Linked DNA regions of Oryzias latipes. The protein of the gene in region 4 interacts with the protein of the main gene of each other region in a pairwise test. Links are inferred from orthologs where the notes say so. Each region holds a gene or a part of one and is shown on either strand. Other genes may lie near its edges. The genes, in order: 5'-AMP-activated protein kinase subunit beta-2, mfsd5, slc35b4, creb3l1, tmem11, FXYD domain-containing ion transport regulator 6 and fam3c.

What was found.
Region 1: the proteins of creb3l1 (region 4) and 5'-AMP-activated protein kinase subunit beta-2 interact in binary tests that used the Homo sapiens proteins (3 or more experiments, as listed by UniProt). The link is inferred for Oryzias latipes from reciprocal best matches to the Homo sapiens genes CREB3L1 and PRKAB2.
Region 2: the proteins of creb3l1 (region 4) and mfsd5 interact in binary tests that used the Homo sapiens proteins (3 or more experiments, as listed by UniProt). The two-hybrid records come from large-scale screens. The link is inferred for Oryzias latipes from reciprocal best matches to the Homo sapiens genes CREB3L1 and SLC61A1.
Region 3: the proteins of creb3l1 (region 4) and slc35b4 interact in binary tests that used the Homo sapiens proteins (3 or more experiments, as listed by UniProt). The two-hybrid records come from large-scale screens. The link is inferred for Oryzias latipes from reciprocal best matches to the Homo sapiens genes CREB3L1 and SLC35B4.
Region 5: the proteins of creb3l1 (region 4) and tmem11 interact in binary tests that used the Homo sapiens proteins (3 or more experiments, as listed by UniProt). The two-hybrid records come from large-scale screens. The link is inferred for Oryzias latipes from reciprocal best matches to the Homo sapiens genes CREB3L1 and TMEM11.
Region 6: the proteins of creb3l1 (region 4) and FXYD domain-containing ion transport regulator 6 interact in binary tests that used the Homo sapiens proteins (3 or more experiments, as listed by UniProt). The two-hybrid records come from large-scale screens. The link is inferred for Oryzias latipes from reciprocal best matches to the Homo sapiens genes CREB3L1 and FXYD6.
Region 7: the proteins of creb3l1 (region 4) and fam3c interact in binary tests that used the Homo sapiens proteins (3 or more experiments, as listed by UniProt). The two-hybrid records come from large-scale screens. The link is inferred for Oryzias latipes from reciprocal best matches to the Homo sapiens genes CREB3L1 and FAM3C.

Annotation. Positions count from the first base shown.
Region 1 is NC_019875.2:22,984,605-22,987,584, forward strand, and holds the end of 5'-AMP-activated protein kinase subunit beta-2, read right to left. Parts: intron 2,974-2,980; coding exon 2,859-2,973; intron 2,769-2,858; coding exon 2,635-2,768; intron 2,515-2,634; coding exon 2,446-2,514; intron 1,805-2,445; coding exon 1,727-1,804; 3' UTR 501-1,726; downstream 1-500. UniProt on the Homo sapiens protein: Non-catalytic subunit of AMP-activated protein kinase (AMPK), an energy sensor protein kinase that plays a key role in regulating cellular energy metabolism.
Region 2 is NC_019865.2:12,565,901-12,569,915, forward strand, and holds the start of mfsd5 (molybdate-anion transporter), read right to left. Parts: upstream 2,801-4,015; 5' UTR 2,669-2,800; intron 1,776-2,668; 5' UTR 1,695-1,775; coding exon 246-1,694; 3' UTR 1-245. UniProt on the Homo sapiens protein: Mediates high-affinity intracellular uptake of the rare oligo-element molybdenum.
Region 3 is NC_019864.2:13,508,418-13,510,580, forward strand, and holds the end of slc35b4 (UDP-xylose and UDP-N-acetylglucosamine transporter), read left to right. Parts: coding exon 1-7; intron 8-85; coding exon 86-161; intron 162-240; coding exon 241-316; intron 317-881; coding exon 882-1,125; 3' UTR 1,126-1,663; downstream 1,664-2,163. UniProt on the Homo sapiens protein: Antiporter that transports nucleotide sugars across the endoplasmic reticulum (ER) membrane in exchange for another nucleotide sugar.
Region 4 is NC_019860.2:23,113,825-23,116,799, reverse strand, and holds part of creb3l1 (cyclic AMP-responsive element-binding protein 3-like protein 1), read right to left. Parts: intron 2,890-2,975; coding exon 2,743-2,889; intron 2,668-2,742; coding exon 2,609-2,667; intron 324-2,608; coding exon 255-323; intron 1-254.
Region 5 is NC_019866.2:14,557,044-14,560,979, reverse strand, and holds the start of tmem11 (transmembrane protein 11, mitochondrial), read right to left. Parts: upstream 2,801-3,936; 5' UTR 2,786-2,800; coding exon 2,586-2,785; intron 2,252-2,585; exon of another isoform or gene 2,194-2,251; coding exon of another isoform or gene 2,147-2,193; intron 704-2,146; coding exon 187-703; 3' UTR 1-186. UniProt on the Homo sapiens protein: Plays a role in mitochondrial morphogenesis.
Region 6 is NC_019871.2:15,102,223-15,105,722, reverse strand, and holds part of FXYD domain-containing ion transport regulator 6, read left to right. Parts: intron 1-1,817; 5' UTR 1,818-1,822; coding exon 1,823-1,871; intron 1,872-2,165; coding exon 2,166-2,189; intron 2,190-3,311; coding exon 3,312-3,347; intron 3,348-3,457; coding exon 3,458-3,500. UniProt on the Homo sapiens protein: Associates with and regulates the activity of the sodium/potassium-transporting ATPase (NKA) which catalyzes the hydrolysis of ATP coupled with the exchange of Na(+) and K(+) ions across the plasma membrane.
Region 7 is NC_019881.2:16,839,307-16,843,414, reverse strand, and holds the start of fam3c (protein FAM3C), read right to left. Parts: upstream 2,801-4,108; 5' UTR 2,666-2,800; intron 2,592-2,665; exon of another isoform or gene 2,547-2,591; intron 2,361-2,546; 5' UTR 2,315-2,360; coding exon 2,299-2,314; intron 2,220-2,298; coding exon 2,115-2,219; intron 1,581-2,114; coding exon 1,557-1,580; intron 1,425-1,556; coding exon 1,301-1,424; intron 61-1,300; coding exon 2-60; intron 1-1. Other genes in the region: sortilin-like, read right to left, coding at 4,004-4,058. UniProt on the Homo sapiens protein: May be involved in retinal laminar formation. Promotes epithelial to mesenchymal transition.

The DNA.
Region 1 (2,980 bases), on a different chromosome or scaffold from region 4:
TGAATCAATTAACGTTACATTATGTGGTGACTTCTAAAACTAAAAAGCCAGCTTCTGAATGACAGAGAAATGTCACCTTGTTAAATACAAACAAAAACTTTTTACTATTTGTTTCTAAAAAATAAAAATAAAGGGAAGAAAACCATTTGAAATGTTTGATTGGTTTGAAGTTGCATATGTATATAAAGCTTTTTAGGCTGCGAGAGCTGATGCAAGACACATGAATGCTAATTTTGGTGTGTTGTCTTAGAAATCAAGGCCTTTGAGAGAATAAAACAGTTGAAAAAGTTGTTTTCTCGTTTCATTTCTCATTGATTTAAGTTTCAATCTTTTAGATTTTAACTAGTTGCATTGTTGCTAAACAAAGTTTGAGCATTAATTCAGGGAAGTACATGCCACAAAAGACCATCACTTCCACAAACCCTTTACCAGAGCTGCACTTTAGAAACAACCATTTGGAAAATCTGTTTCATTGAAAAAGAAATGACCAAGAGAGTGGCATTAGGATCAGAGTAGTGTATTTATTTGCAGTACAGTACAATCTTCTATAGAGGATTACCACATTGTTTATGCTAAGCATTTTCATAGATTTATCAAGTATAGCTGCAAAATTCAAGTTTTGGTTTTAGCCCTAAAAGCCCTGGATCCATGGCTCTTTTCCAAACTCCTTTATCAAATCTTAGTTTTAAAAAATAAAGCCGAGCTTTTAGAAAATAAAAGCCCGGCTTAACATTCACAGAATACTCTAACATACCTCCGAGAGATTCTCCTTGATGTTTGAAGAGTTGTGAGCATTCATACGCAGGAACCAGCAGCTCAGAACCAAAACACGGGTGTGTCTTACATATAAAATTTAAATAAATGGCAACCAGTCATCATCAAAGCTCTCCTAGGTTCTCTTCATTTCTCAACATCAATGTATTCACAACATCTATGAAACTGAAATGTGAGCGCAGACAGACCTTTAAGCAGCTCCACACGTGTAACACACAGATACAGTACGATAGTTTTTCTTTAACAAAGCAGACAAATGTGAGAACACACTAATTAGATGGAAGACAATACAATGCAAAGGCTACTTACTGCATAGTTATAGCTTGTATCAACGATAATGCTTACAAACATTCATCAGAATAAAAGCAGCAGCTAAGCAAAGACTTTAGACCACTTCCTGTGTGGAAAAAAAAGAGCTACTAGTGAAAAAGAAAAAGAAATGGCTACAACTGTAGCTCTGGACTAAGCTGGGCATCACGGCTGCCAAAACAAAAACAGGAATACAAGCCTTTGGCTCAAACAGAATTCACAGATGATTTCATGACCCACTATTGCACTTCACCTTAACAAAAGGTCACCTGTCGTTCTGTTTACATTCAGCGAGCGACATAAAAAAAGTAACAACGCAAACGCAGCAGAAACAACAAAAAAAACAGACCGTTTACTGTCATCTAAAAACTACAATCACACAATCAAATGTGAAAACATACAAACACCACGCAGTGATTTAATCAGGCTCATCGGCAAGGAGATGTCACCAGCTAAAGCCGTAGTAGAGTTGTCTTCTTTTACCAAAACCCCACACCCTGTACCGTTGTTCAGAGCCCTGTGTAGAAGTGCGGCTTTCTTTGGAGCAGCCTGTAAACATGTTTCAGTGCAACTCCTGTCTATAAGTGATGGCAAACTGAAAAGAAAACGAACACGCTGCTCTCTCTGAGCATCTGAAGACGGGTTAGATGGGTTTGTACAGCAGAGAGGTGACATACTTCTTCTTGTATCTGTGAGTAGCACTTAGCACCATCACTCCATCCTACACAGAAGAAAAAAAAAAACAAAAGGGTTCAAGAGCTGCAACTCTGGAAGAAAAGAAATTGCAAAAATAATACAAAGTTAAAACTGCATCGTCCGCCCATTTTTTTGTGGAAAATATAAAAAAGCTGCCTCTTTTCAAGGTCAAAGGTCAACAACACTTTGGTTTGGGTAGCAGACTTAAAACGCCTAATTTCATACTCCTCATGGTTCTGTGGCCATCCAATAATAATTTCAAAACTTCCTTTGGATAGCCCCGACTCGTGTGTTTTGGTTTTGTTGATTTTTTTTTTTTGCCTCCTTTCATTTTTTGACAGTTTCGCCTGCTGTCATGTCATCATTTTTTGGAGGTGGAGGTGTCGTGTGCAAAGTTTGGGGAGTTTTTGAGAATGTGGCAGGGGTGACATTTTCACCAAAACATGCAGTAAGAAAGAAGAACTGTAAAAACAATCAGGTCCTTGCAGTCCAGGGCTAATTAAATGAAGACAAACTAGAACCAAAACTGTCACGATCAAAATTCAACTCAGCGACACTGAGGAAAACTAAAAAGATGAGGCAAAGAGGCAGATAAAAAATATATATATATTTTCCAATTTAAATGGAAAATTCTGTCTAAAAGCAACATTGTAACAGTGAATGTACCTTTATTGAGAGAGCGTAAAGGTGATTTAGCATGACGTGGTTGGGTTCAGGCAGCAGAGCAGGGTCACACTGAAGTGCAGAGACCAAAAAAAAACACAAAGATTATTGTTCAGAGAAACAACAGCAACATGGAAGCAGACGGAATTGACAGTAAAAGGATGAATCACTGAGAAAACGTAAAACACTGACTGATATGTTGGTGTCCTTGTTAAGAATGACTTGAAGCAGGTGAGGGGGGAGAATCGGAGGGGCTTTGAAGTGCTTTTCGGGTCTGAAGATGTACTGCTCTTGTCCGTACGGACCTGGAGGCGAGCTGGACAAGTCTGGAGACATGAAGATGTGTTCAAGGCCGAAAATGTACCAATCTATTTAGGCGAGCAGCAAGAGAACAAGATCTATCACAGGAGACGCACCTGATGTGTCCGAGCACTCCAGGGAGTCCACCTGCAGCGCGTCAAACACCTCAAAGTCAGACTTCTTCACCTGGATCAGGTTGTTGATCGTTCCCAGCTGGCTGGTTACCACCGGCTGCAAA
Region 2 (4,015 bases), on a different chromosome or scaffold from region 4:
TCCAGTTTCCTGGTTGAATCCCAAGTATTTTGCTTTACATGTGTTTACAGTTTTTCTTAAATAAAGAACCAAACGGTAACAAGTGATGTGAAATAAAATGTAAACTAACCCTATAGCCTTTTAGGAGGTTGTCAATCTCCTTCTTTGGCAAAATACGAACTTACCCAACATATTTTCTTTTATGTTTTATCATCAAAATGTGCCCTTCTGAACTGTGGAGTCCAGGTTTTGAATGTTTCCAGTTCTTAAAACATCTCCCCATCTCCTCTGGTTCCTTCAAGTCTCAGGTCAGCATCGTTTCTACCCAGAGTGAAAAGACTCACGACAGCCATCAGTGCTGCCAGCATCATGACGGCACAGCCTCCAAACATATGTCTAGTGCCACCCCCGCCTTCTCCTCCACCCATTCCTGATACTTCCCCGTGGAGCGCCAGGAGTCCCAGGCAGGCCAGCAGGTGCAATGGCAACCGGAACCAGGCCAACACACCGGCTCGCTTTTCCTCTGGAATCACTCTGCCCTGCAGAAAGCTGACTGCTGGGAAGTACAGACCACTGGCCAGCTCCAGCAGGAGGAAGGCCAAGAAAGATTCGTGTGGTCTCGGCTGTCCTGGTGCAGTAGAAAAGGTTAGCATGAAAAAGGAGAAGAATGCCATCAGAACAGCGAGGCAGAGCACGTGACCAGGCTGCAGATGGTAGTGAGTGGAAGTGGCAAGGCGGTACAGCAAGGAGCCGACCATACTTGCAGCCATCAGGGAAGAGAAAACTATTCCCAAAGGAGGCCCATGAGGGTCTAGAACTGGAGTCCATAGAAAAACAAAGATGTAAAGAACACTTTCAAACAGAGCTTGTACTCCACCCAAAAGGAGAACTCTTTTGTCTGACAGCAAACAACGCAGCCCTTCATGGCAGCTTCGCGAGAACCTGCCTTTTGCAGTTAAACGGGGACCACCTCCATTTTGAGTACCAAGTAGTAGAGTCTTTTTGTCCCCTTCAGGACAGCCTTCAGCTTCCTCCTTCCCCCAGTCTGTTAGCACCACCCAGCCACAGCAGCCCAGGCAGGGGACAGCCAGGAGAAATGGAGCCACTGGGCCCAAGTGGAGCCACTCAGCCAGCAAGTTGGCCACCAACCCAGCTCCCACAGCAAGGCCGTGATTCCAAGTAGCAGCTCTGGTGAACGTGCTGGGGATCCATTCCTTTGGAAAATCCTGGACTTCTACATGCTGGTGCACATACCAGGCTTCAAATGTGGTAGCAAGCAGGGATGTGGACAGGCCCCCCAAAATACGGCCCACAATCAAAACAAAGTAGTCTCTGGAAAGCTTTGTGAGGCAGCAAGCAGAGTAGCACAGGCAGAAGAGAAGGCAGGTTTGTCTGCGGCCCAAGGCTTGAGGTAGCCAGCCCGAGAAGGGAGCAAACAAAACACACGAAGCCAGGCCACACACGTACAAAATGGCTATTTGGGACTCCAGGAAGCTGTAGTGGCGATAGAGTTTATAGAGATAGGGGCCCTGGAGCCAGTCTGCCCACAGAGCCAAAAGGTAAGCCCTCAGGAAGATTTTCTGGAAACGCCGGAAAGCTGGGTTAGCCACAGCTGATGGAGTGGACTCAGGCGGTGTGATGCGGCGTGCTGTCAGCTCCAGGCCAACACACAGGGCGAGCAGGAAAATGACGGCGAGATAAGCTGTGACCAGCATGGTGGCAGAGACTGCATCCGCTTGAGGTTAAAACAGGGAAACTGATGTGGTTCCAATTCTATTCCGTCTGCTCCTCAGCCCCTACAGGAAGGGAAAATTAAACATTAGACTTGAATGTGTCTTTATGACCCACTTTAATCATATATTTATCTATTCTAAAAGCGTTCCTGGTGGTCTTTTCACTTTGATTATAATGTTTTAGTCAAAATAAAAAACCTGTCTTCTTTAAGGACATAGTTTCTGCAGATCAGCAGGAATTTATCAGAAATTCACCTCCGAGTTGTGGGCAAGACTGTTGCCGCAGGGTAAGCCTGCCCCCACTTCCTGTCATCCATGTGTTGACACCATCTCCAAGTAGTTTACAACCCATAACCTAACACTAACAGTGCAACAAAAATGCGGAGCAATATCTGAGCTATCCAGGTGTACATTTTTGAGCCAGATGCCTGCCCAGACGAAGAAAACAAGACGTACATGGTCGTATAAGGGGATGCATCAGAATTGAGCAGAGCAGGAAGCTTGTGGCCCGAAAGTATCAACTACGTCACAGCTAGAGGCTTCGGCATTTTTATCGTCTGCTCTTGATTCACAACAAATTGAATAAAGACATACCCAGAAATACAGCTTTAATCTTCAATTTCTTACATATCCTACTAGTAGTCCATCGTGAGAAAAATGCCACATTTTAAAAACACCAAAAAAAACAAGATTTTTAATTATACAATGCAGCGCATAATTAAATGTGGATTAGCTAACCTTTACTTTAGTTGTCTATGACAGTTTAACACTGACAATTTCGGTAACTTAAACACTGCTAATTAATTTAGAAATTGAAAGAAAGTAGTGAACCCCGACCGTTTGCTATTAGCTAACGTTAGCTGCATGCTAGTGCAAAATAAGTTGACTAAATGAGTGGCACCGCCATCTTTAGATTTCTATCCCAATACAACATTTTCCAACGTAACCAGTCCTACCGTGATTTTTGACAGCCGTCCCATATCAAGCAAGTCCCCTTGCAAGCATCAGCTTTGAACGAGAAGGAAGCAGAATCAGTACACACGTTAAAACATTCACTTCCTGGATTTGGTGCTTACTACTATTACGCCACCAGGGGGCAGCCGTGGATCTTCTGTTTGGTGTTCTGTTGGTGCTTGGTTGGAGAGCAGGTGCTTGACGCCGGTGAACACCCATTTCCTAGAGATGCAATCATTGAATACATAACTAATAATATCCTCTATCGTATCATTTTAAACATTGAAATGATGAAATGGAATACAGTATTTATTCCTGGAAAGTTGTGTGTGTTTTGCTTTTGTTTGAGACGCATGCAGATTCTATAAATAGAAACTTTCATATTCCATGTGAATAAAATAGCAATTTTCAAGTATACTCAGACTACTTGGTGACAATTTTAAACGGTTTCAGAAACCTTCATGCACTTTTCTCACGTTTTTTCTGTTCCATTTTTGATCTTTAGGATATAAAAGGTGTGTATTTGTATTTAATATACAGTACAGTACAGTTTGGTCTGTACTGTTTAATATGTATTTCTGTATATATATAAATTCTTATATAGGCATATTGTACTTGTTTTAAGTGTTGGACTGAATATAAAAGGATAGAGGAATAAAGAGAGGAGTTATAGTATGTTGTATGTGTGTGTGTGTGTGTGTGTGTGTGTGTGGGTGTGCGTGGGTGTGTGTGTGTGTGTGTGTGTGTGGGTGTGCGTGTGTTTGTGTGTGTGTATGGGGGAGCTGTTCACAACAAGGCAACGCTAAAAATGGGGATAGAAAAAGAGGCATAAAAAATTGCTAAATGTTTATCATTATTGCTAACACAGATTAACCAAAGGCTTTTTATACTCAAGCACACACCCAAACGGCACACAAAACTGCAAAAACCATCATAAACATGTCAAACTCATTTATATTTTGGACATACAGAAGAACTCACGCACATTGATTGTATACACGCACACACAGAGACACATGCAACACATAATGTCATACCTGTGTGCATGCAAATGTTGTGCAAGGGTGAGCATGCGGGATGCTGAGGTGGGTGTGTTGTGTACAATGATGTTATGTAATGGGAATGTGGAAAGAAAGGTAAGAAGCTCTACCATTTACTCAAAGCCCAGAGAATGCCAGTCAGAGCCTTCCAGATGCCCCCTGTTCACAGAGAGGCAAATCACGGGACAACCACCCTCAGACAATCTGACACCAACTATCCTGAAACAGGGCCAGGAACCTTAGGTGCAGGAGAACACATGCAGAAGCCCCTGCCTGGGCACAGAGTAGATCGTCCTCCTTTCCCTGGGT
Region 3 (2,163 bases), on a different chromosome or scaffold from region 4:
CTATAACGTGAGTTTTCCCTTCCACCATCGAGGTAACAATGACCACACAACTTTATTCAGGAGAAATCTGCATTTCTGTTTGCAGCACTGCCTGCCCCTGCCGGGGTTCCTGCTTCTTTCTACAGACATCTACAACTATTGCAACCATTTTAGCCAGAGCAGTGAGTGTTTTGAGCCGTTCAGATGAGCTTTTGGTTTGGACTATATCAGATGTAATTGGTGGTGATTGTTTCCTGACAGCTCCTGTACTCGTTCCTGTGGTGGGACTGACCGTACCAATCATGTGGATCTACCTTCTAATCAACGTTATCACACAGTATCCGTCAGAAAAACAAAAAAAGTACTTTTTTCAACCTTGTTTGTATACCTTACTGAAGTTGAAATGTTCATCCTATTTATTATTTATTTAGGCGTCTGTAAGTACACGCAGTAAAACATTTTCTTTGAAGTTGCCGTATATGTATAGGTAATGCAAATAATAATAATTTCACTTACCGGTATGTATTTTTGGTTGATAGAGTATTTCTGCCCCAACTAAAACGTCCTAAGAACAAAGTCACTTTAAATAAAGTTTTTGTCTTCACTTCATCTAAAAAAAAAAAAAAAACTTATTTAAAGATACATAGATGTATGTATTTTGTAGTTTGTTGCCTCTTAATTTTCTTTAAAAACAACTTAATTTTAGATTGGGGGAAAATATTTCAATCTTTAAACATCATGACGGCTTTCTCTTAAGAGTTCTATTAATTTTTTATCGTCAGCTCTTTATTTTAAATTAAAGACCCCGCGCTAGACAAACATAATGACATACAATCTTTGCATATTTTCCATCCTTTTTTCTCCTTCCGTATGACTGCTAAAGACTTTAACCGTTTCTCCAGATATGTCTGTATTCGGGGAGTTTTTGTCTTGACCACAGAGTGCACGTCGCTGACGGTCACCTTAGTGGTGACGCTACGAAAGTTCCTCAGCCTCATTTTCTCCATCATTTACTTCCAAAACCCCTTCACTGCGTGGCACTGGTTGGGCACGTTCGTGGTCTTTGTGGGGACTCTGCTTTACACCGAGGTGCTGAGCAGCATCCAGGCAGCTCTCCGGGGAACCGGAACGAAGAAGGCGGAGTAATACAGCAAGCCTGGAGGATGGGAAAATGTTCCCCATGTTGGGCTTTTTAATACACCCACAGCTATTTTTATAAAATTAGTTATTTTGCTGTGGTTCTTCAATCAAGTCAGTCAAAAGGTTTCACTAAAAACAAATTGTCATATTTTCCATTTATAAATATGGATTGAATCATGTTTGTAGTTTTCATAATTCTGAACGTGTTAGGATGTTCTTTGTGTGGTCGACACTCCAACTCAAAAAGTACATAAGTATCTGTAAATTATGTATTATTTCATTTGCAAAAGGATTTCTTGACCTTTACTGTGCCTCTGTAACCTTATAAAAATAGATGTGCTCAAGTATGTGTTGTTTAGCTCTGTGTCTGATATGAAAGAGGTGGACAGTTTGTCCTGAGTCCAAATCTTAAAAAAAGTTTTTAAATGACTGTGTGCAATATGGATTTCACCAAACCAACTGTATAAACAATTTCAGCCATGTTTGTTGTTTTTCTGTCTGAGCGTTCCCAATAGTCTTTTAATTATGATCATGCTGTTTTTAGTCAAAATTTAAATAAAAAAACTGTAATTTACATAGTTTCTGGAGAGAAGTAGCAGTTTGTTGCAAATTTGTCCCAAAGTTGTGAGCAGGGGCGTTGGTGAAGAGCAACCCTGCTCCCCTTTACACAATCTCCCACTGGCTTACAGCCATTCATACCCACAACCTAACTTTATCGGTGCAATGAAATGGCAAGCAATATCAGAGCTATCCAGCCGTACATTTTTGTGCCAGATACCAGCACGGACAGGACAAAGACGTACATGGACCTATTTGTCTGCAAGTGGATGCATCAGTATGGAGCAGAGCACAGAGCTTTTGGACCCCCCAGCACATTTTCTACATAAAAAATATGATCTTTTTTAAGCCGTATTTGTTGGACTGCACCTGGTTGAATTTATACAATGCCAATATTCTTTTTAAATGTTGGTGTGTTTAGTTTATATAACAATTCAGCTTTTTTTTATATACTTATTTGCTTAACTTCCTGTCATCCCAACTAAT
Region 4 (2,975 bases):
GCCTCTCAACTTCACCGTTCTGACTCAGCGCCCAGCTCATTGTTCCCCTCTGTGAGGTGGTTTGGTTTTCATGATGAAAGCTGCTGCTCGCCTAATGACAGGCCTCAGACCCCTCTACCCCTCCACACCCGTCTAACCAGCAACCCCCCCACTCCCGGGATAATAGCAGATCATATAGTTATAATAACAGAGGGGGTGACACAGCCGTCCACGCTCAGTTCGATCTGCGTTCTGAGGAAAAGCGCGACCCTCACCTGTTGGCCGTCTCCAGGTTTTCCACTTTTCTCCACAGGTCGCCGTTCTCTGACGTGTAGCTCTCCACCCTGAAGGAGGCAGACATCGTCCTTCAGCATCTCTGTTAAAGTCTGACCAACCCAAAACAGGGGCTCGACTTTTCCAAACAGAGGCATCTCAAAGGAAACAGGAAATGTTTCACCTCCGTTTTTCTTATGGGACACTTTTTAAAAAAATGTCACACTGTGGATTTAAATACCACAAATATGTCATTTAGGTCGACTTGAATGCAGTCTAACATGGAATAAAAGGAGAAAACAAACAAAGAAAATGCTTCAAACGACTTGTGCCGTGTTACATAAAGTGTGTAAATAAATAATTCAAAGGAGAATAAAAGGACGATCTGCTTCATGATTGTTTTCTTCATATTAAATTACTTAAAGATGCTCAACAGCTACATATTTTTAACAAACGAGAGCTGATTCAGATCCATTCTTAACCTCCGCTTGACGTTTGTCCCGAAAGCTTTAATGTGGTGACCAGACGACAGCTGGGATGGAGTCCAGCGACCCCCGTGACCCTGTACCAGAAATTATACGACATACCCTTATCCACAAGTGTTCAGGACTATAAAAGATAAAATAAAAGAAGGAAAAAACCTAACTGTTATGGTCTCCATTTTTTTGGGGGGGGGGGTTCTGTACGGTTTTACTTATTGTTTGTGTTCTAATAAAACTGCTGCTGCTGCAGGCATAATCTTTGTTATAAGTTTTTTTTAATAAAGCTTTCAAAATGAACCTCTGCCTATTTTGTTATTTGGTAACTGTTCTTCCGGATTTAAACTTTGATGTTATCGTTATTCAGAGTGAAATAACATCTAAACTTGTTGCATCTCCTTCATTAGAGGCTGCAGTTGAAGCAGATCGCCACTAGGTGGCTCTGCTCTTTATTGCATCGATCCCAAATCTTACTTTTCGACTCATTATCATTAGTCTTTTTTTATTGATAAATTATATACTAATATTTTTGTACCAAACAGCATATGAAAAGTGTAGACAATGAAAGTTATTTAATGTACTTTTTAAAGAATCCTAATACAGGCTATAAAAACAAACAGCATTTCGGGGGGGGAAAGAGACGAAAACATTCTAATTTAATTTTAATAACTTATAACAATCGCTGTCAAAAGTTTAACATTTTACTTCGACTCACCTAAAATGTTTTCAAATATACGTCAGAGCGATCCTTTCCCAATTTTTCAATTTAGCTGCTAATATTAGCGGAGCTTTCCTCCGGATTCCGCGCGGCGTAAACTCCGACATCTGATTGGCTGTTGTGATCATGTGACACGGATGCAAACACTCTGGATGAAATAAACGCCTTTTTTCTCTGTTTTTATGGGGTACAGCCACTTCTAAAATAAATAGTCTGTTGTTTGTATTTCTTTGACAGTTTCTCTTTTTTAAATTAATTTATTTTAAAAAAATGTTGTGTTTCTTGACCCCGCCACGTTTTTCATGAACTTCCTGTGTGATCCTAGCAATTAAAGCTTGGAAAGAATTTATTTCTGTTGGGATTTATAAAACCACAAGTCTACACTAAAATTATTTCTTGGCGAATGTTTTTAAATAATTGAAAAATAGTCTCGGAGTGCTAGTTGGACTATAAATATTTTGGCAGGTATTTCTTTAGTGCAGAGACACAATGTGATTACAAAGCAGATAAAAATGTTTGTGTGCGTTTCGATTGATTCCTAAAAGAAAGCTGCTCCGTCACTGAGGTTTTAGTTCAGATTAAAGTGGCATTTTAAGTGTAAAATCTTCAGGATTAGGATTATTGTTACTCTGAAAGGAATGTTAATCCATGTTTAGATTTCCTTTTCATGACGCTCCATGTGTTCAGCAGACTCCTGGAACCAGGTCAAAGTGAATAAAAAAGTTTTTTGCTCTTCATGAGTCTGGTAGGTCTAAAAAGGCGACTGATGATGATGATGAAGAAATCTTCGTTCAGTTAGGGCGCTCAAACATTCGTGACCACGCCGGCCTCCAGCTCCGCCCCCCAGCAGAGCCGTACTGTCATTCCGCGCCACGGTTAGGAAACCTCCAAACACAAAAGCTGGCCCTGAAGTGAGCGTTTGCTGCCAGCTCCACTTCAGCATTACACAACTGGATCTGCTGAAGGTTTTTCCATATTCTTCAGCGATAAATAATAAAAATCTAGAGAGGGAAAACCTCGGTCTGTAAACGGATGATCCCAAAGGAAGCTCAGAGGAGATGTGAATCTCCCAAACACCTTCTGACCTCACAGATGCAACAACTGGGCGTCCACAGACCGAATTAACCAACAAATGTTTCTGAAAAATCAAAAGCCTTACTTTTTCTCCAGACAGTCCACATACTCCTTCTTCTTCCTCCGACTTTCCTGAGCTGAGATCTGAACAAAAACATGTGATTTGTCACCAAAAAGGAACTTTGTAAGATGGAATTTTTTTTCTTTCAATTAGTTTGCCTTGTTTTTAATCTTCCGCCGGACTCTCTTCAGCGCCTTCTCCTCGCTCTTGGTGAGGGGAAGCTTGTTGGGGACGGGGTACCCCTCTGCCACCAGCGTTCTCTTCTCCTCCTCTGTGAGCATGAGCGGCCCCGAGCCCTGCAGCTTCTGAAGAACACAACGGAACAATAAAAAACTCCATGAAATCATTTTCAAACCAAACTTTTATCACCAAAATGAAAGCTGTAACTCTT
Region 5 (3,936 bases), on a different chromosome or scaffold from region 4:
TTTCTAGTTTAACTATATCCCTCTGACCAACGCAGGAAAAACCAATTCCAGAGGAGCTAACCTTTGCTCCCGTCTTCACTTCCATTTTCTTACAGTGAGGGGTGGGGTGGGGTAGCTTCTGTTTTCTTTATCTAATTAGTTTTTCTCCTTTTTTTTTTGTTGGTACGTAAATCTTCTTCGGTGCACTCATACTGCATAGAGTTCATAGATCTTCTTGGCACAATATGCCAGGGCAGCCAGTGCTATCGTATTATGGAGTCTCTTTCTGTGGACGTCGTCCCTGCGTACCAACACCACCGGAGTAGAGGAGGTCAACGTGTGCAGGGGCAGCCGCGAAAGTTTTTGGCTGTCGTATTCCACCTGGTATTTGCAACAAGGATCAAACTGCCACGATATCCCGTAGAGGGCAGCGCACGCCACGCTGAGGGCGCCGGCGGGCAACGCCACATACCGCGAGTATTCAGCAGGCAGTGAAAGCGGTGTCAGGAGGCAGGCAGAGCCTGATAACACTGCCGTCTTGTGCAGACAGTTTCCCACCGTAATCCAACGGGCTGTCTCATCTCCGATCCGCGTGGGCTCAATAACAATGTATTTATACTGGGCCTCCAGAGCTTGCTCAAGCTCATACTCGAACTGGTCCTGTGCATTCTCCCCATTGTAGATCTCATGCACTATGTAGCAATCCGACGCCGCCATTACTCCCCTGTACACAAAAAGGAGAAAAAGTGATAAACAATCAAAGGCAAGCAGCATTGCAAGAGAATAAAACAAAGACATTTAAGGGTGTGTTTGGTATTTTATGTCTAGCTGAACTTAAAGTAAGTTGGCATATGAAAGAAAAAACATCAAATGATCGCGTAGGAACTTGGGGAACCATGCTTTATCTTTAGCTTGTTAGCCTTACATTTGACCATTTACTGCTTGTTATTCACATGTATTTACGTGTGAGCAAACTCAAAAACTGATGGAAATTCATGTCAGCCACACATAATACATGCGGCAAAAATGCACATTGCTGCACTGATTTTAAGTGCGTCCAAGGCTGCATGTTGCTGTTGGTCGCATGTATTAACCTAACCATAGTTCTAACCTTTCTTCCAGGTCTGTGCGGCCAACAAAAGAGAGTGTATTTAGAAAATTATGCATGAATAGTCACTTAATTCTGCTTTCCTTAACATGCCAAAACATAGTTAAAAGTTTTCAAAAGAATCCAAGGTTCAGAAGTTCAGCAGATAAATCCAAATCCTTTCATTGTGGAACAGCATTAAAGGATGTGACTGTGTTTGCCAGCTAATTGGATAAATATTGATCATATTTCTCTCATTTTAAACCACTTGAATTTTGAATTGTATTAATTACAAAGCACTGCTGACCCAACCAAAAGTTCAATTAGGAAACTTGCCTTTTTGTAAATGCAAACATTTTTAGAAAAATGTGTGCAAATGCAGGAGGTAGTGCCCCAAAACGCACTTTTGGCTACAATATAACATTAGGAAATTCATATTGAAGAACTTTAACAGGGTTTAAGGTGAGTTGTTTGGGGAAAACTCTCCTGAAATTCAGTATTTCGAAAATTTATCTGAAAAAATAAAATTAGTCTTGGTGGATCATCTTCTTCGTTGACTCACATATGTCATCAGCGTCGTCGAGGAGTGGAGAGAATGATGTTCTACTTGACAATGATTTCAGTTTTAGGATGGCGATGTACGGCACACGAGCTAACTTGCTCGCGTGGTGTAAAGTTGAGAGACAGAACAGCAACAGTTCAAGATCGTTTTTTTGTAGCAGGTCGACAGCACACAATTGCCTTTGACCTACATTTCTGAAAAAATGTGAGCATTAACAATAACGCGTGTTCGTGACAGTTTTTAGTGATCAGCAGTTCTTTTCTAAGTTAAGCGACTGGCTTAAATGTAATCAAAATATCACATGAGCATCTAGTTTGTTTCCCTTAGCGTTAGCTAAGAATTCACGTTAGCCAGCTAACGAGAGCTAATGGGGTTGAAATTATAACTTTCTTCGCTGCCGTTTGACTTTTAAACTTGGCCAATGTGCATGTCGGAAAACCCATGAACTTTGACATCGACAAAGAAATGTACCCCACCAAAATATTCTTGCTTAAACAGTAAAATGTGGAGTAACTGACCTCTCCCTGCTTATTGGGACACCGCGCCTCCTTCCGAGCGACGCCATGTTGGGGATGCAACTGTGATTTCCTTTGACGTATGAAAGCGAACAGCATTCTGGATATTGCTGTTTGTAAGTAGTTCCGAGTTAATGACAGACTAGTCTAATTGGACTACATCTCCCGTGATGCTTCATTAAATGCGTCTATACTGTGTATATTTTGTAATAGCACACTGAAATTCGGGAGGTCAGACCACATTTTACAAGTTTATTTATTTCTTAAAAAATATATATATATTAAAGGTACGTTTGCTTTATTTGTAAAACCGTTAAAAATAAAAACGTGATCGTATTTTAATGTAAAATGTATATAAGATGATGCAAGCAGGTTTATGATATTTCCTTTATCATATTATTTATTTCTACACCGTCTAGCTTTCCTATTTTTGCAGACTTACCCATATTGTACCTCTGTCCGTTGGTGCGGCGATGCGAGCTGCCTCTGCTGTAACCTGACGCCCTCTGGATAATATCGACGCTGTGCCAGGAACAGTAACGTTACAGCCTGGTGGATAACGCATGCGTCACTTCTGAACACACACAAAACCAGGAATATTTCTTTTGTAAATATTGCGTGTGTGAAACGTTCTCGAGACATTTACAATTGCTTAAGATTTACACGTTCTCTGTCCTATAAATTACAAGTCAGCCTACTTAACGCATAAAGGTTTTCAACTCAAACAGTATTTGCAAGCTAAAAACCACAGATTTGTGTTGTAAACTATATAAAACTGTATAATTTGTTATTTTGATCATAAAGTGTATCACAGGAAAAAAACAACCCTTTGGAATACATATTCACATTTGCTGCCATGTATCTACAATATGACAATATATGGGTGCAAACATTATGATGTTGGAAGATGTGTTGCATAAAAATATGTTTGTGGGAGAACCGCTCCATCTTTCTTTTACATGGATCAGTCATCCTGGTCCCTTTGCTGAAAAACAGCCCCAAAGCATGATGTTTCCACCCCCATGCTTTACAGTAGCCATGGTGTTCTTTGGATGCAACTCAGCATTCTTTCTCCTCCAAACACAATGAGTAGAGTTCTTACCAAAAAGTTCTATTTTGGTTTCATCTGACCATAAGACATTCTCCCAATCCTTTTCTGGATCATCCAAATGCTCTCTAGCTAACTCTAGACGGACCTGCACATGTACTGGCTTTAGCAGGGGGACACTTCTATGATGGTAGCCTTTGAAACTTTGGTCCCAGCTCTCTGCAGGTCATTCACTAGGTCCCCCTGTGTGGTTCTGGGATTTAAGTTCACCATTTTTGTGATCATTTTGATCCCACGGTGTGAGATCTTGCGGGAAGCCACAGATAGAGGGAGATTGTCAGTGGTCTTTCATGTCTTTCATTTTCTAATAATTGCTCCCACAGTTGATTTCTTCACACCAGCTGCTTACCTATTGCAAATTCAGTCTTCCCAGCCTGGTGCAGGTCAACAATATGGTTTCTGGTGTCCTCAGACAGCTCTTTGGTCTTGGACATAGTGGAGTTTGAAATGTTTCTGTTTGAGGACAGAGTCTTTTATATAGATAACCAGTTCAAACTGGTGAAATTAATACAGGTAATGAGTGGAGGACAAAGGATCCTCTTCCTTAGTTAGAAGTTACAGGTCTGTGAGAGCCTGAAATCGTACTTGTTTGTAGGTGACCAAAAACTTATTTTCCACCATAATTAGCAAACAAGTTCTTTAAATATTGCTCAATGTCATTTTCTGGATTTTTTCCTCATTTTGT
Region 6 (3,500 bases), on a different chromosome or scaffold from region 4:
TAACCCTCCTGTTATGTTCATTTGTGAGGAACAGAGATGATGTTCCTGGGTCAATAGGATGTATGAGGTATGTTAAGTGTTAAGAGTATGTTAAATGACTCAGAGAATCAGCAAACTTTTTTTACAGTAAGATCTTGAAGGCTAAAAACACAATATTCTATTTTCCAATGATTTTATAGATTCAGAAATGCAATAAAAATGACAACTGTTTCTACAAATACAGGATGAAAACAGAGTATTAGTTGGCCAATGATGCTTCATGAAAGGAATAAATAAATAAGTCTGAGAAAGAATTACTGTGAAATTATGAGATAAACAGTCTGCTATGATTGTGTCATATGAGGTTGTGCAAGTTATTAGTTCTTGGTCTCAGATTTTGTCAAATAAATTTCCCGTCAAAATGCGACTTATAGTCCAGTGCGACTTATCTGTGTTTTTTTCTACTATATAATGCATTTTTGGGCTGGTGCGACTTATAGTCCGGAAAATACGGTATATATTCATTTTCTGTCAAAATCAAAGTATGTTTTCTGTTCTGTTATTTCTTTCTTTTTGCGAGGCGGATTTCCAAAAAAAACTCTGTTTCTGCTCCTGCCTCTTGTCAAATTTTACAACCCTTTGTGGCTCATGAATAAAAAATGTTGCTCAGCCATGTTTTACAACAATCAAGTTTCATAAAAAAAGTTAAATTCAAATATATTTAGGTGAATGTCTTTCGTTTAGCTATCTGTAAAATATAAATACACAAAGACAAAATAAAAAAAAAGCTTTCTTCGGGTGCAAGAAGTAAACACATACCAACTATAGGACATTCAAATGATGAGTTGCTGTTGTCATTGGAAGATACACTTCTAGATTTTCACGACTCATATGCCCTTCCAGCAGTTGCTGGTAAGAACTGGTAAATCTTAAGTTATTTAGACAAATATTTTCTATAGAATAAACACAGCTGATCTGCTTAACAATTGTTGAGAGCAAATTGACAAAGCTTCTGACTAGATCTGTAAAGATAGAAAACAAACAGTCTGAGCAGATTCAGTAAGCCTAAAATAAAACACATCAAACTGTAAACTTGTAAAAAGAGTATCTAATTAAAAAAATGGGGGAAAAAAAATCATATTTGAAACCTCAAAAAAAAAGGAAAATGTTTTCAACATAAAAAGCTACAGTTAAATCCTGAGCCGTACTGATGGAATTAGAGAAACATGGAAAGCAAGCTAGTGAAGAACACGAAAAACTAAATAAGACAAATATGCATTACACATACATTACACTCTGGAAACATGTGCTGGCCGAAATAAAGGAATTCTAAACTGAAACAAAAATAATTATGGAATAAAATAGAGCAGAATAGAAAATATAAAAAATGATAAAGTAAATGCTTGTTAATATGTCTGAAATCAATATTAAATGATGAATTGTGCATGGGCAAGCATCACATCTGATGTGAAAAACAGCAACTGTCTGACTACTGGCAAAGAAATGGACACTCAATGCATATTATAACTGGTCTTACCAAACTATAAAAGCTCCTCATTGAATAAAAATGATGGTTAGAAAATGGGAAAATGATGGAAATCCAAAACTCTTAATGTTAAAAAGATTCTTAAAATCACTTTCAGAGCAAAATCCCCTTTTTGGATATCATTTTGTACTTTTTTATGTACAGAAAAAACCCTGAAATAACACCTAAAGTAGAAAAATTCCAGGGACTTTTCTGAAGTTGGGCCATAGGTCTGTTTTGTTGTTTATTATTAGGCCAAAAATTTCTTTTTCTTTTCTAAAGTCTTATCTTTCTGATTATTTTGTGCCAACAGTTGTCATGGAAATGGCTTTGCTCTTCTTCTCTTCACTCCTGGTGTGCGTGTCAGGTAAGTGCCCATAATCATAAAACACATGCATAGTGCTGCCTCCCTTTTCACCCGTTGTCCACTAGAGGGCAGTTGTTCCTTTATAGGAAATTTGTGCCTCATTGCAAAAAAATTACAGATTTGAGCTCAAAAATACTAATTATTACACTGTTTAGTAAAACTAAATATGCATGACAATAAAGTTGTGTGATGGAAAAAGTGTATATTTGTGTGATCCCTGTTAATAAAGATAGTATAAAAACATAATTTTTCTACAACCATCACATTTCTTTACAATCTGTTTTTGTGTCCCAGCTGTTGCTGACTCAAGTGAAAATGGTGAGTTTTCTGTATTTAGTCTCTAACAGATTTCTAAACAACAGTAAAAAGTTGCATGTTTTGTCCAAAATTGAAAAAGCAGAACAAGAGCAAGATTTATTTTAATGGAATGGCAGCATCCTAATCAATCTAAAAAAAGATGTTAACAATTGTTCAAACATTTCTGTCTAGTCCAGGATGCGCCTGCATACTAAGTCCAGGATGCGCCTGCATACTAGATGTTGCAAATAGAGTACCAAAAATATATACTTATAAAGTAATTATTTGATTCTGCAGGAAATTCACAAAAGTTCACTTTTATTGTACTGTAATTACTGTCTGCTGTTGCAGATAGAAAGTAATTTCAATGAAGCACTTCCTTACAGAACCCTGTATTTGATCTGGACTGTGGACTGGCACAGAGAGACCCAGACTTGGACCCACTTTTGGCTAAATAGTTTGGGAGTGCGAATGGTCTTGCCCTAGGACCCACACTGGATGAAGCTCTGGATATTGAACCCACATTTCCCATGTGCCAGTCCTCAAGTCACTATTCTATTCTATTCTATTCTATATTATTCTATTCTATTCTATTCTATTCTATTCTATTCTATTCTATTCTATTCTATATTATTCTATTCTATTCTATTCTATTCTATTCTATTCTATTCTATTCTATTCTATTCTATTCTATTCTATTCTATTCTATTCTATTCTTCCTAAAACATTATAGTCATATGTAAAACAGAAGGTCCGTTAACTATTTCTGTGAGGGATTAATAGTTGTGGAGAACACAAATGCAAGAGGGCGTCTTGTCAGCGGCAACTTTGATAAATAAATCAGCCTAAACAATTCAAAATAAAATTGAACTAAAACAATAAAACTAAACATTGAACCCGTAACACCATAGATTCTTTTCTGTTACATTTTTATCAATTGGTATAGGTATGTTATGATCTTAAAAAAACGTACTTAGTAGTACGTTTGTAATTCATATAGAGATAAAACAAAGAAGTGCAACAATGTTAGCAAATACTTTAAATGCATTTTACCTAATCAAAATCACAAAGAAATTATGAAAATATTGATCAAAAATCAACTTTCTAATTCTACTGGTTTCTGTAAATTATTTTTCCCTACAGACAACAAAAAGATTGTTGATAACCCTTTTATTTACGGTAAGTAAAAAATGAACCAAAAAATGAAAGCGACCATCAACCATGCGACTTCAACTAGAAGTGTGTTTCTTCCCTCTGCTTTTTTCTTTTTTTGCATTTCTTGTTCATAGACTATGAAAGTTTGAGAATTGGAGGACTGGCCTTTGCTGTGGT
Region 7 (4,108 bases), on a different chromosome or scaffold from region 4:
CCATCAATCAGGGCGATGTTGATTCCTCTTCCCACATTGTTCTTCACGCCGCTCATTATTCTGCAAACAAGAGCAGAACCACCGTGAGGCTGCAGCCTGAAGGGATCCAGAAGGAGGGACGCTGACATTTAGCCTCACATCCTGTTCGGCCGATGTTTGTGGAGGCGGAGCTTCACCACCACCACTTAAACACATTTTAGCTAGAAAGTGAATAGCAGCACATAGTTTTTGAAGATAGTTACTATTGATGACACTTTAGGACGTTATGAAATGACTCTAAAATTATTTTTGTTACTAAGAAAAAAACTCAAATCCCCCTTTTTTTAAATTATATTTAACACATTTTTACATCGACTGATTTCCATAAAAAAAAATTTATATTATTACAATAATACGTGACTTTTAATGAGGTTCTTCACAATAAATAAGATGCATTTTTCTAAAAGGACTTCCCTTGTTTACAGTGATAATAGATGTGAGCATGGCATTTCAGACACGTTTGTACAATCTTGAACTTTTCTATCTCACCTCATGCCTATCATTCTCTATTAAAGAAGTCTGGCCGCTTTCGCCTTCAGCTGCTGAGACACAATGTCCCATTTAAAAGGCATTCTTTACACAAGGATCGTTTGAACACAAGCCTGTGTAACCTGGTGCTCCTCTCAAGAAAAAGTGCAGCTAAATTGGAATTTGTGTGTAATTTGTAAGGGAACAACTCTTTAAAAAAGGGTTTCATTAAATAATAAACAACTCTAAAAGCAGAACTTGTGGATTGATTGGATCCTGGCAAACACAAGATCAAGACCTTAAAAAAAAAAATCTTCAAACAATCTGGTCGGTGTTTTCAAGAACCGGCTTTTGTCATATCACATTAAGACACGGCTCAATGGAAAAGTGACACTAAACATTAACATCCACACAAAAGGCAGCTCTCCTTCATTCCAGGAACATATTTACCAACTATTGACTTACAGCATTTTTTTAGGCTTTTCCTTAGAACATTACTGTTGAAACCTGAAACCTTCATTTTAATTAATTTTCCATATGGTTTTGAGGAAAAAGACAAAACTTGAAGTGATTTAAAACGATTTGGCCACACACTTTAACAAGATTATTAACAAGATTTTGTATAAAGTGCAAACCCAAAGTGAAACTTGAGGCAGTAAACACTCAGGTTAGCGGTCAGAAGTAAACCTTTCACCAAAGATTTCAGGTAACGATGACTCGAGCAGAACTTCTGACCAAAATCTGGAGACAACGGCTCCACGGATCGCCTGGAAGTTGCCTTTTTTCCACTTACAAGTTGTCTTCTAGGCACATCCTGGGCCCGACGACACTGGCCGCACCGCTCGCCATCTTGAAGGCAAAGTGTTCTGGAGGACACGCTTTGGACAGCCCACATTTGTGTTTGACCGGTTTTGCCGCTGCAAATAAAAAAACTCAATCAATAGTGATCAATATTATCATGTTTGCTCTGAATCTTAGCTTTGAATTAAAAAAAAAAAGCAGCGTCCTAAAGTTTGAAATTAAAATGAGAATAATTAGGGAATATTAACCTTCAATCATTGGCAGGGATCTCGCTGAAAAAGGAAAAATAAAAGAAGTGTAAATAAGTTATTCTCTTGTAAGGACACATTTCTGAGCTACATAAAAGCTCTGGATTTCTAAACATCTTTATTTCATCAAATTTAGATGTCATAGTACTCAATATTATTTTATTATTAACCAAACCTTCAGTCCTTTCAGTGTTTAATGGAAATAATGGATAGACTATTCATTTCTAAAGCAGAACTTTAAGCACCTTTTCATAAACATGAAGTGTTTGCAGCTGCTTTTTATAAATAAAAGTGTTTTTTTTTTTTAAGGAATAACAATGGCATAACTTAAAAGTCCACGATGAACAGATTCCCCCTAAAGCAGTGTGGGTAATGGAGTTCTGGTGACACAAACCGGTTCCTACCATCTCTCCCAAATACAGAGTACATGCAAATTTTTACATTCTGTACAGTAGAAGAACAAAACTAGGTGAAATTATTCAGTCCTGTTGACAGACTTCTTTCTGTTAAAGGGTAAAAAGAAAAAAACTATCAGGAAATGATAGCCCGGATACTTACAGATCACACTTCCAAATTTAAAATCCCCGTTTATCTCCAGCAACTGGAAAGCCAAGAAGGCAACCAGTAGGATGGCTGAGATCAGCGTTACGGCCTTCAAAATACCTATGGAGAGGCAAGAAAAGAGGCCAGTTTAGCCTAAAGGTCTTTTTTTAATAACTTATATCGCATTAAACTATCTTACCGCCGGGTCTAACCATCTTGAAGGGTTTCCAGACAGTAACAGTTCTCCCCCAGCCTATGAGCCTGTATTAAGAAACAAACAAAATAAACAAAAACATGCGTTAGTTCACTAAATGTATTGTTGCTGATCGGACCCAAGTTGACGGAACACAGAAATAAACTGCAACTAATGCTAACTGTTATCTCTTGTCTCGATAAACTAGTTGTTAGCATGATGACTTCTAGCATATTCTCACTAAAGTGACGTACGCTTTGAGATTCGTTTCCCAGCTAGCCTGCCGTCGCGCTAGTAACTGCCACAGACAGCTTAACGTCTAACTTTAAAATGGTCATATCTATGAATTACAGACTACAATTATATTTCTTACCGTCTGTCGGAAGACTACACGTTCCCTGATAAGCTTGGTTCGCCGACAGAGCAGACTCTCCTTTTCCTGCCCTGACAGCTGAGATATGGAGAGAAACAAACACCTGAGGTGTCACTCCGTTGCAAAACTATAACGCGCAGTCATCTGTGCACGCGCTACAACAAAACAGGTTGATTCTTCATCAGGTTGATTCATCTGCCGCAGATGATTCTTTTCTGAGCTTCTTTTTTTAACTCATTACCTTTTAAGCCCCCCAAAATATGAGTCTGTTTATTTAGTTCTGTACACATTATTGAAATCCTTGTTAATTTATTTACAAAATATTAATTTGATGTTTAAAAAATAGAAAATGCCAAAAACTCAACACTATGAAATAAACCAGATATTTACGCAATATCGCAAAATACGGTTAAAAAAAGCCTGGGTACTGCTTTTTTTTCAAAGCTTTTTTTTTGTTTTGTAAGTTTTTAGAGATTACCTGTTAAGTACAAGTACAAAATATCCGGAAACTCCCTACAAACATACTTATAGTTCATATTTATATAAAGAAACATATTCTTCCTCCATTTAACTTTTTGATTTAACCGTATGCGCCTAAGAAAATAGCTTTGAAATTGAGCAGTCTTGCGACCTTTGCACGAGTGAAACGTCTTTCATGAAAACATCTATATATGATCCTTAACGGAGTTTTGCTTCTTCTTCCCTATGTATTTTCTGTTTGAAAGGTCATTTCGAAACAGAGGTAGCTCCTCTAGTGGTCAGCTTTGAGACATACAGTGCAGTGATTGCCCCCCCCCCCCCCACCTATGATTGTCACCGAATTTTTCCCCATGCGGATATATTTTAAACAAAAGATGTTTTATAAAAAATATATGTTAAAAAAGTATTAAAAAGATGTTCAAATTTAGAAAAATGTTAAACTGAGAAACTGCATAAGAAAAGTACCTTACTTCATAAAACTTTTTTTTCATGTGTTACTAAGAAATCCTGTGAACATTTGATAAAAAATATTACAAAACAAAAAATATAGCTTAGACAAATATAACCAAATGAACAAACAACAAGATTTTTAATGCAGCTTGTTTTTAAAGATTTTTCAGATTTCTTTTCATTTTCACAAACTTACAAAACAATAACAAACCAATACAGCAATCAAAGAGAGACAAAAGAAACTTGAGAACTGTGCTTAATAAATAAAAATGAATAACATTAATATTTAATTAATTAAAAAATAAAAACTTGACACAAAGGGGCTTCCATGAAAGTGGTGGGACGTTTCCAAGAAAGCGTGGCTTGCGGTTAGTTTTTAGTGCAGAGGGTTTTAACGATGAGCGTTCATCATGTCAGGGAAATGGAGCTGTGCGTCACTGATCCTGTGAAATCCTGTAAGATCCTATGGAAAGAATCATCCGTTTGCACACTTAAGCCACAAGCTCAGTAATA